Rattus norvegicus: one gene and its partners. The protein of the gene in region 3 purifies or fractionates together with the protein of the main gene of each other region. This does not show direct contact. Links are inferred from orthologs where the notes say so. Each region holds a gene or a part of one and is shown on either strand. Other genes may lie near its edges.

The links.
Region 1: the proteins of Snw1 (region 3) and Prpf19 purify together in Homo sapiens (affinity purification with mass spectrometry; 3 studies listed by BioGRID and IntAct, counting the BioPlex papers as one, with this or other methods). This does not show direct contact. The link is inferred for Rattus norvegicus from reciprocal best matches to the Homo sapiens genes SNW1 and PRPF19.
Region 2: the proteins of Snw1 (region 3) and Chd4 purify together in Homo sapiens (affinity purification with mass spectrometry; 3 studies listed by BioGRID and IntAct, with this or other methods). This does not show direct contact. The link is inferred for Rattus norvegicus from reciprocal best matches to the Homo sapiens genes SNW1 and CHD4.

Annotation. Positions count from the first base shown.
Region 1 is NC_086019.1:216,965,242-216,968,989, forward strand, and holds the start of Prpf19 (pre-mRNA-processing factor 19), read left to right. Parts: upstream 1-1,265; 5' UTR 1,266-1,452; coding exon 1,453-1,471; intron 1,472-3,498; coding exon 3,499-3,648; intron 3,649-3,748. UniProt on the Homo sapiens protein: Ubiquitin-protein ligase which is a core component of several complexes mainly involved pre-mRNA splicing and DNA repair. Required for pre-mRNA splicing as component of the spliceosome.
Region 2 is NC_086022.1:159,594,797-159,598,444, reverse strand, and holds part of Chd4 (chromodomain-helicase-DNA-binding protein 4), read right to left. Parts: coding exon 3,526-3,648; exon of another isoform or gene 3,452-3,525; coding exon 3,355-3,451; exon of another isoform or gene 2,329-3,354; coding exon 2,137-2,328; exon of another isoform or gene 1,510-2,136; coding exon 1,309-1,509; exon of another isoform or gene 1,129-1,308; coding exon 991-1,128; exon of another isoform or gene 738-990; coding exon 616-737; exon of another isoform or gene 465-615; coding exon 291-464; exon of another isoform or gene 1-290. UniProt on the Homo sapiens protein: ATP-dependent chromatin-remodeling factor that binds and distorts nucleosomal DNA. Acts as a component of the histone deacetylase NuRD complex which participates in the remodeling of chromatin.
Region 3 is NC_086024.1:112,826,366-112,830,013, reverse strand, and holds the end of Snw1 (SNW domain-containing protein 1), read left to right. Parts: intron 1-781; coding exon 782-899; intron 900-1,298; exon of another isoform or gene 1,299-2,588; coding exon 2,589-2,752; exon of another isoform or gene 2,753-2,836; coding exon 2,837-3,035; 3' UTR 3,036-3,640; downstream 3,641-3,648. UniProt on the Homo sapiens protein: Involved in pre-mRNA splicing as component of the spliceosome. As a component of the minor spliceosome, involved in the splicing of U12-type introns in pre-mRNAs.

The DNA of each region.
Region 1 (3,748 bases), on a different chromosome or scaffold from region 3:
CGGTCTGGTTTTTGTTAGAGAAAACATAAACAGTTGGTAGGTGGCGGGGAACCGTTGTTCTAACAAATATCGGAGGCAGGCTACTTTAAAGAAAAGAGGGCCCTCTTGGCTCAAAGTTCTAGAAGCACAAGGTTCACAGGGAATGACACAGGCAATGTCTAGGGCCTCTTCTGGTGTCACAACTATGGAAGTCAACTCATGCATTTGTGCCTGTTCACTTTCTTTCCTATAAGAACCCCACCAGGATTCTTGTTATGTCCTATTCTAATTCCAAAGATCCCACCTCTAAATGCCACAGTTAAGCCAGATAGTAATGACACATCCCTTTGATTTCAGCACTCAAAAGGCAGAGACAGGAAGATCTTTGAGTTTGAGTCAAGTCTTGTCTACAGACTGAGTTCCAGGACAGCCAAGGGCTATACACACACACACACACACACACACACACACACACACACACACACACACACACACAAACCCTGTCTTGAAAAACAGAAACAAAAATGAAACCACAGAAAAACACCATAGTCCTGTTAACTTTCCACTCTTACGGTTTGTTTGTTTATTGGGACATGCTTTCTCTACACAGCCCTGATTGTCCTGGATTAGAACTCACTGTACAGATCAGGCTGGACTTGAACGCGGAGTTCTGCCTGGCTCTGCAGCTCAGTGCCTGTGCTTAAAGACTTGTGCAAACACACCCATCAACTTTCCATTCTTTTAAATATTCACATAAACGCCAGGAATTAAATTCCCTCGAGTTTAGAAAACAGACTATATTTAAAACGTAGCAGGCAACGAAGCCAGGGACTTGCCCAAATTCCCAGAGCAAGAGTAGAGACAGAACCTAGACAGTGTTAGCTTCTTTACTCATTTGTGCTTTATTTACGGGGTCACATTGTTTCTCAAAAGGCAGCCAAGGAACACAGGCTCAGAATCATACCTACAGACTCTCTAAGGCAGACCCTAGGAATCTGCATTTTTACAAGCTCCTGAGAAATCTGTCCTGCACACGAACATTTCAAAGACTAGTGTTCCCTGGGTGACAGCAGCTCCGCCTCAAAAACAGCCTTGGCCAGATTCCTAGGTTTAAGATCCCCGCAGCCTCATGGGAAATGTAGTTTCTGCTCTCCTTCCCGCCTCAGGCCTCTTGGAAAACTCGCCGGAAGAAGCCGAGCCAATGCGGAAACAGCCGAGTGTTCCGAGGCGGGCCTTTTCCTGCTCGGTTGCATGCTGGGAAAGGGCAGTTTCCGTTAGCTGCAGAAGGCTGAGGCGCGCCACCGGCCACCTCCCCACGTGAAGCAGTTGTGCGAGCATCGCCACGCCGGGCAGCTGTCTACCCGCGTCCGAGCGCTCCGGAAGCGGCGGGGGACCGGAAGTGGCCCGCGGAGGCTGCAGAGCTAGTCCGGGAACCCGCTGTGAGGCGACTGGCAGCAGCGCTACGACGGCGCCATGTCCCTGATCTGCTCGAGTGAGTGCTGGCTGCGGCGGGAGGCGGGAGCGTGTGCGGCCGCTGTGGCTCGGGCCCTAGAGCCCCCGGCCCTGCGTGCAGGGTGCATTTGCGCAGTGATGCGCAATTCACGTAGCTGGGAAGAATGACTGTCTCAGGGGTCTTTTGAAGCCAGCGTCGTTTTACAGAGCTGAGACAGGCCTGAGCAGAAGTGGGGGGAGGAGCTGGTGCAGTGAAAAACAGCTCTTGGTGTCAAAAACCCGAGGACGTGTCCAGGATCCGCCTCCGACTGTGATCTGGGCTCTAGCGGGTTTGGGCCTCAGTTTCCCCACCTGCAAAATTGAAAGCATTGCAATGGATATTGCTTGGGAAACCTCGCTTAGGAATTGGAGTTTCTGATTTGCAGAGATCATGCAGTGACTTCGAGACCAGGGCTGGAAGCCAGGTGTCTGGCTTCTAGCCTCGCGCAGTATGACTAATGAAAACAGCGAATGTTTAGAAAACCTGTATTGATTTACGATGCATTTCCAAACGGTGATCTCATTTTATGCTTACAAGAATTGTCTGAAGGGAAATAAAGATCCGTGTGTTACAGAGGTTGTCGGAAGACTTGAAGAATGGGTTTATCCAGGGGTGTGCGACGAAACTAAGCCATGGAGCTCGGTTCTTTGAGCCTGGATCCATGGTTTTCCCATGTAGTATATGGTCTTGTCTTTGGGTGTTGTATTACGGCATTGCGGGTGTTCTCCCAGTTGTTTACCCCATTACTAGTTTCCTCACTTTCTCTCTTTCCCTCTCAGAACGTTGCCATTAATTCAAAGAGGGAAAGGAAGGAGGGAAATGACAAACAGAAAAGGAAGTCTCATAGTGAAGAAATAGCAGTTTGCAAAGTATTTATGAACGATTTGTTTCCTTTTCATCTTTGAAACAACACTCTTACATGCCCAGGGCCATCCTTCCTCTGGTAGGAGAGGGAAAGCTCTCAGAAAGCTTCAGTCGTTGAGTAGTGAGATAAACCTACAGAATAGGACAGGAAAGCCATATACAAAAATAGGGATTTTAAGTACTGAAACAAATACTTAATTACATGTGCATGGAGTCCTGCAAAATTAAGTGACTCTAAGGGAAGACACTGAGAAGGATAGGAGCTTGAAGCCTTGGGTTGTTGACTCACAACCTATGGGAAGGCGAATAGAATTATGTGATGAATAAGAGCTGTTTTGTGATGTGATAAGTCACTATCTTAGAGCGGCCTTCAGAAGAGTCTGATGTGGAGGTAGCTTTCACTTGTCTGCTTGAGTGATCCAGTTGTCTTTTTTAGGGGAAGGTAGAGAAGCAAGGGGGGTCTGAGAAGGTCAGAGAGACCTTGGTTCTTGCTTTTGAGGCTTTTTTTTTTTTTTTTTTTTTTTTTTTTTTTTGGTAGTTTGGCATGCCCAGGGCTCCATACTTTGGGATATTCTTTTCTGAGCCCCAGTACTTTTGCACTTATTTAATCTGCTCTGATGTTTATCAAGTGTGTGCTTCGCTTCTGCATTGTCCTGGAGGTCAGTGACAGCTGTAAGTCCCATCTTCAAGGGTACACAGACTATTCTGTCGAGCGCTTAGAATAGAATTCTGCCTGGCACGTAGTAGCAGAGCAATGGAAAGTTTTTGTTTGTTTGTTTTTAATTTATCAGTGCTTGTCACATGGCTTTGTAATTTCTCTTGTTGATCCATCTCGGGCTCCCGATGGATGACAGAAGTTTGAGTTGTGCTCTGTGTACTTCTCTGTCATGTGCCTAGTCATCTGGGTTCAAAAAAGAGATCGACCACTCTATACCGCACTGGCACATAGGATCTGGGCAGTTATTATTTATTGACTTTTATTATCAGCAGACCAGAGATTCTAGGTAAGTAGTTGGCAAGCATTGTGGGACCAAGTACAGGCAGGCTTGCTGTCACAGACCTTGCTTCCTGATAGCTGACTATAAAGGACAGGGTCTTGTTGGGGCTGACACAGTGAAGAGTCTCCTTTTACCCTGTGGCTCACTACCTGTCTTTCTCTATAGTCTCCAACGAAGTGCCAGAGCACCCATGCGTGTCCCCTGTCTCTAATCATGTGTATGAGCGGCGACTCATTGAGAAGTACATTGCAGAGAATGGCACAGATCCTATCAACAACCAGCCTCTCTCAGAGGAGCAGCTCATCGACATCAAAGGTGCCTGCCCAATAGCCTTGGTCCAAGGCCATCTCAGCTCAGCCTTCAAGAGTGGGAGGTGGTGCCAATCTGGTGGAGAAGATGGTGGCTGTGAGTGGGG
Region 2 (3,648 bases), on a different chromosome or scaffold from region 3:
ACCGGTCGGACGAAGAGTCTCTGAATGACTAATGATGCAACCCAACAGCCTGCGATCATCTTTCCAACACTCCTCACTGTGGGGCTGAGCTAACAGGCAACTGCCACACCATCCTTGTGTTAGACACAGGAAGGTGGAACGAGCAACTACAAGCTCCCGCTCCCAGGTGTGAGCTTTCCTCGGGCCCTGCTTGCTCCTATCGGCAGACATGAAGCTCTGTGGAAGAAACTGCTGGCGGGATGGCGGGTGTCTGTCACGAAGCTCAATTTGCTCCATCCCTCCACACTCACTTTTGCATAGGGCTCAGCTCCACACGCACAATCAGTTCTGTCTTGGAGGGCATGTTCTTGAAGACATCAGCTTTGAGCCGCCGCAACATGTGAGGCCCCAGCATGTCGTGTAGTTTCTTAATCTGGTCCTCTTTGGCGATGTCAGCAAACTCTTCCAAGAAGCCTTCTAAATTGCTTCAGGGGGAAAAGAGTTGTTAGAGAAAAAGAAAAAAGGAAGAAAGGAAAGTAACACGGGAAGTGAGCAACAAGAAGAACAAACATATAGCTAGGAACAGACAGACAGACAGACAGACAGACAGACAGACAGACAGACAGCCACACTTACTGGAACCTCTCGGGGGTGAGAAAGTTGAGCAGATGGAACAATTCCTCTAGATTGTTTTGTAATGGAGTTCCAGTTAGCAACAGCTTGTGTTGGAGTGAGTAACCGTTCAAAACTCGGAAGAACTGGTGAAGAGAAATGAAATTCAAGAAACGAAGGCACCAGAGCACCAGAAAAATCCCAAGCTGTTTCACTGTCCAGTGAATTAAAGCCTCTCATCCCATGGCTGGCATCCTTAAATGCCTGGCCAAAGAAGGGGCTACCAACGGTCAAGAAGAAAATAAAGACCACTTTCCCCTCTTCTCTACTTAGGCTTCTTTCAAAAAGATGACTCTCCCAAGGGACTAGGACTAGAGGCTCTCACCTCCCACTCCTCACCTTAGACTGGTTGTTCTTCAGCCGGTGGGCTTCATCCACAATGAGGCAGGCCCAGTCAATAGAACCCAAGATGGCCATATCAATGGTGATCAACTCATAGGATGTCAGCAGAACATGGAATTTCACAGATGCTTCTTTCTGCACATAACGATAAGCCGGTTACTCACTACTGGTCCACTCCTCAGCACAACTGGGACAAGCAAGCTTTCCCTGCTCCCCAAGTTCTCTTTCTGCCTCACTCAGAGACCTGGTAAGGCAGCAAAGCAGCCCACAGCAGTGACTCCCTGTCAAGTTTCCTCTTCCCTCCCACTGAAATACCTTCATTCGGGAGGCTTTCTTGCCACCACGAATGGCATTATCTTCAAAGGAGAACTCATTTTCCCGGATGATGGCACGGCTGTCCTTGTCACCCACATAGGTCACCACATACATATCAGGAGCCCACATCTCAAACTCTCGCTCCCAGTTGATGATGGTGGACAGAGGCGCGCTCACTAAGAAGGGGCCTTTGGAGTGACCCTGGAAGGAAACAGGCAGAGTCAGGGCTAAGAGCCCCCTCCCTGAACCCCAGACTCCCCCTCCTCCCTGACCCACAGTGAAGCTGACACTGGACACCTGTGCCTCTGACGCCCCTTCATCTGTTACAAACACCATTCACCCCTCTTCCCAAAAGGCAGTTGCCCACCTTGACAAAACCAAACTCCTCCACCTACACAAGAATTTCCTACCACTAAGGCCTTTTACCTCCAGGCACTCAGCCTACCAGGGCTCTGATCCTGCAAAATCTCCACTGTAGGATCTAGAAAGTGGCTCACTGTTTAAAAGCACTAGCTGCTTTGCATAGGTCCCACGTCCAGATCCCAGCACCCACATGATGGCTTATAGTCTGTAATTACAGTTTAAAGAGGTGACCCCTCTTCTGGCCTCCCCAGGTACTGCACATAGGTGGTGCACAGCCATACTTATGGACAACATACCCACACAAAGTAATTAGAAAAAGAAAAGAAAAAAGGATTTGTACTACAGAGCTGTCTCTTCCTATCCCTCTGCAGTATTTCTTTCTCCCTTCCTCCCACTCCTTAAAACACAAGAAAATATAGTCACAAAATACCCACTCCAGACACTAGCGTCTCCCAGCCTCTTTACCTCCTTGTACAGGGAATAGAGGAAGACTGCTGTCTGCACAGTTTTCCCAAGGCCCATTTCATCAGCCAGGATGGTATCGGTACCCTGAGCCCAGGAGAAGCGTAGCCAGTTTAAGCCTTCCATTTGGTAGGGGTGCAGGGTTCCACCTGTGGCATCCAGGTACTCCGGCTGTCGCTCATACTTCACTGTGGGCTGAAGGAGAAGAGAGGTCAAAAGCTGGTAAAGAACCCCCTTCCTGGAAGACTGCTTCCTCCTACACGAGTCCTAGTGGATCTTTTTTTTTTCCTGAGAGCTAAGAGAAACAAAACAAAATAGCCCTTAGGGAAATAAGGCATGGTAAGACCCCCTTTTAACCCTAGTACTTAGGCTGAGATAGAAGGATTGAGTTCAAGACTAGTCTTTGGATCAGGATATACCGTCTCAAAATGTAACAATAAAGAATTTAGTTGCCTTGGAGTTGCCACAGAATCCACCAGGCCATAATGGACAGATCAGATCCAAACCAATGGTCACAGAGAGTCCCAGTTAAATCCAGTGGGTCCCAGACCAAAAAGGCATGAATGTGGGAAAGAGATCTGCAGGGAAGGAAGAATGGGGTGGCTAAAGGAAGGAGGGAGGAAAGAGGGGGCACAGGGACAGTAAGCAGAAAGAACTGTGGACATGTGTGAGCCTCAATACACTTGGGAAAAGGGAGTGATGGGATCCTCACTGTCACTGCAGCATGTGCCTTAGCATCCTTCAGAGGACAAGGCAGCTTATCTAGGCCTCAGGGAGACCTGACACAGACCACTATTCAAAACATGCAAGGCAAAGAAAGGCTCCGGTGTGCCAGGACACTAACTGCTGTCATCGTTAAGACCAGCCAGGTAGAGGCTGGCGCACGTAAGCAATCAAAGCACTTAGGAGGCGGAGACAGGAAATCAGAAGTTAAAAGTCAGCCTGAGCTATATGAGACCTTGCCTTTCTCAAATACATACATGCATACGTTTGTACGCACGCACACGCACACATACACAAGCCCCTTGTATATAAGACCACCTCCTAGTGAACACTGTCCTAACATAAAATATCCCATCTGTGGGTTTTTCCTGATGCTTTCTGAGAGGACAATCTAGATCGTCTCAGCTAGAGTCATCTACAGGTCCTGGAGCTTCACCATGACACTGCAGCGTACTGCCCACACAACAAATACACCATTCCTCTTCCACCCAAACTCACATCAACAGTTGGGGTCTCCGGAGGCCTTTCCAGTTTCCGTAATTTCACCTTCTTAAGCTTCTTGCCAGGTCGCCCTTCCTCACCCCTCATTAACTCCCTAGGAGAGAAAACGGCAGAGCTGCCTCTCGGTCCTTCTGAAGGAGAGCAGTTCCCCTCTTCACAGTCACCTACCTGTGGTTCCAGTAGCTCTGCTTGAACAGGTCGTAGTCCTGTATCTCCACATCCTCACTCTCCCAAGACGCCTGATCGTAGGGTAAGTCTCGCCACTTTATTAAATAGTGAACGTGGCCCTTC
Region 3 (3,648 bases):
TATGAGTAATTGTCCACGCTCTGATGATGCTAGAAGCTGGTCCAACCCAGCTTCAAGTTTAAATCTTAACCTGACTCTACCAACGTGGTTCCTTCTTTAATTGGCATATTTCTCCTCTGCAAAACTGAACCCATGGAAAAGAGAAATGAAATATGGATGTGATCAGTGAATTGTGGACTTGCCACAGTGTACAGTGACAGTGGATCTGTACAGAAACTGGGCTTCTAAATCCAGTAAAGTGGCCGTGAAGTTGTAACTGGATGAAAATAAAATTGTCTACGGAAATATTTAAGACACGAGTATCTTGTCAATTGTGGACAGTCACCTTGGTTTTTATGGAGATACTGATTGCATTTATACCGAAACAGCGGAGGATTAGTGTAATGTCTGAAGTCAAGCAAAGGAATGTAATGTCACTGTCATGTTTTCTATGTTGTGTCATGGAATCCAGGTAGGATAAAAATTAGTGCATATTAGGTCAGAGCTGAGTGAAGCCTACTGAGAAGGATTAAAGGTGTGTGGTGTATCCATTTGTATCCAAGAACCAGTCTCCTGTGTGTCCTCTGAGCTAGTAGGACCCAACTGTAGACTCATACCCACCTTTTCTAAGCATGCATCTGAAGTACTCCCAGGGCTGCTAGCATGATTGTGCGTCATCAGACCATATGTGCTCGTGAGACACAAATACAACATTTCCTTTGTTTCTGAGAGTGACTGTGTTTATATTCCATATATTCCTCTTGTCTGTGAAAGTATACTAATAAATATGTATTTCAAATAGGTCCAAACTACAGAGAAATGAAAATCGAGATATCAGTGAAGTCATTGCTCTTGGTGTGCCCAATCCTCGAACTTCCAATGAAGTCCAGTATGACCAAAGGCTCTTCAACCAGTCCAAGGTATGAGGAACTTAGAAAACACCTTTATCTAGTGTGTTCTTCTTAGTTAGGGTTTCTATTGCTGTGACAAAACACTATAACTAAAAAGCAAGTTGGGAAGGAAAGGTTTGTTTTAAAGGCTTACACTTCCGTATTGCTGTGAATTGACGCTAGTAAGTGTAATGTTAGCTCTTCCTGGGAATAACTTGTGACTTAATGGTTTGAGAATTAGAGATAGCAGTAAGATCTTCCAAGCAACAATGCATTGTTTGATACTTTTTATATTTCTGGCATTGTTCCAAGTCTATTCATTTCAGTCCTTCAGAAAAAATGGAGGGGAGGGGGACAAACAACATATGAAGGCGGACAATTGGTTTTTGGGGGAAGGTTCGTTCTTTATTTTTCCTATTTTTCCATTTTCATTCGTATGCATGTTTGCATGTGTAGGCAGTATGTGTACATGCATATGTTTATGTTGGAAATTGATGTTGGGAATTGTCTTTATCACTCTGCCTTCCACATTATTCACTGAGGCAGATCTCTCAGTCCATCCCAGAACTCACTGATAGAATTACCCAGCCTGCTCTGAGATTTCCTGTCTGCATCTTCAGAGAATGGAGTTACGCAAGCTTCCACACCCACCTATCATTTACATGGGTCCTAGGAATCCAAGCCTGGGCCCTCATGTTTATGTAGAAACTGCTTTAACACTGAACTGTCTCTGCAGCACCCACCCTATTACCTCTCATGGATAATTAAGACAGGATCGAGTCATTGATGGAACTGAGATTCAACCTTGAATGCTTTGATGCCAAAGCTTCTTTCATAACTGCTTTGCAGCATCAGCCAGACTGAGCAGGAGTTGGGGTGGAGGCGCCACAGGAGTAAATCTTTCACAGCAGCCATCTCTTCTGACCTTGAGCTTAAACCTTTTAAAAGCTGAGTTAAAGTTTTTAAGATTTTCATTGAGGACCTTATGATCTTGTGCTTTAATTAATACTGACATTCTCAGGCAGTTGAGGTAACTTTTCTCAGCATCATTATCCAGTACCCACAATACAATCCTTCAATTTTAATGACATTTTTAGTTGATTTTCTTTTTCTTTTTTTCCTGAGGACTTCATACAATTGAATTTTACCATATTCACTCTCCTCCACCTGCTCCCAGATCCACCCCTCCTTCTCTACACAGCCAACTTTCTGTCTTGTTTTTCTTGGATTGGGGTTTTTATTTGTTCTTCAGTTTTGGGTTTTGAAGATGGGTTCTAGGTGTATCCTTGCTGTCCTGAATTCACTTTGTAAACCAGATCTGCCTGCCTCTGCTTGTGAGTGTTGGGATTAAAGCTATGCGTCACCACGCCTAGCCATTGTCTTTTATTTTTGGTTAGTCAGAACTTTGCTGTCGTGTGAGACCGGGAATGTTATATAGCTCTGGCTGTCTTAGAACGTGATATTCAGACTGGCAGAGACTCACCTGCTTGCCTCATTAGTGCTGGGATTAACCTAATCTAATGAATACTCTGATTTAATTTTAGTTTCTAAGTAAGAACTCAAATGTGTATAAACAACTGTATACTTACTATTTTACATAAATATTGTAGTTGCGATTTCTTAATTAGCTGTAAACGTGTGTCTATTAATTCCTAAGCATTTAGATTCAGCTTTGGATAAGTATACATTTTTATTTGGTGTCATTCATTTTTTCCACAGGGTATGGACAGTGGATTTGCAGGTGGAGAAGATGAAATTTACAATGTTTATGATCAAGCCTGGAGAGGTGGCAAAGATATGGCTCAGAGTATCTATAGGCCGAGTAAAAATCTGGACAAGGACATGTATGGCGATGACCTCGAAACCAGGATAAAGACCAACAGGTACCAATGCAGACAGTTGCTGTTCATTCCTGTTTACACCAGCAAAACAGAAATAGTTCATAACTTCTTCTCTTTTCCCCCTAGATTTGTTCCTGATAAAGAGTTTTCAGGTTCAGATGGTAGAAAGAGAGGCCGAGAAGGACCAGTTCAGTTTGAGGAAGATCCTTTTGGTTTGGACAAATTTTTGGAAGAAGCAAAACAGCATGGTGGGTCTAAAAGACCTTCAGATAGCAGTCGCCCCAAGGAACATGAACATGAAGGCAAGAAGCGAAGGAAGGAGTAGATGGGCCTCTTGAAATTAAATCTGACGTATACAGCAGAGGACTGCCTGGTCTGGCCAGAGTGAGAGAAAATGGACCTAACCCTCAAGAGACTTGAGACCACAAAGAATGGGGAAGCCTGGGGGGTGGGGGGTGGGGTGGGGCATCCTCTTGGAGACAGGGGAAGAGGAATTTTTGGAGAGATGATGGGGAGGGGGATAACAACTGGACTGTATTTAAAAAAAAAATTAAAAAAAAAAACAAACCAAATCTGGGTGATAGATCCCAACACTCCTTCCATCCAGGAGATAGAGGCAATGCATATTCTATTTCGCAGTAGTTTTTATAAAGAATGGTCTGTGTTTGTGCCTCTCCAATCTTGCAGCACTTATAAAAAATACTGCCCCTGACAAAATTGAGGCTACTTCCTTGCTAATCCAGGGGTAAAATTTTCTGTAAGAACTTTATGAATTACCCCAAATGGTTAGTAGGTGGATGCTCATACACTCGAACTGTGCTGGCAGATGCATTTGCCCTGTTGGACTCTTCTACTGTGCAGTGGGGAAACCAAGTTCTTGCTTAGTGCAAACTAGTTTCAAAAAAAAAAAAAAAAACACATTTAGAAAAAGTCTAAGT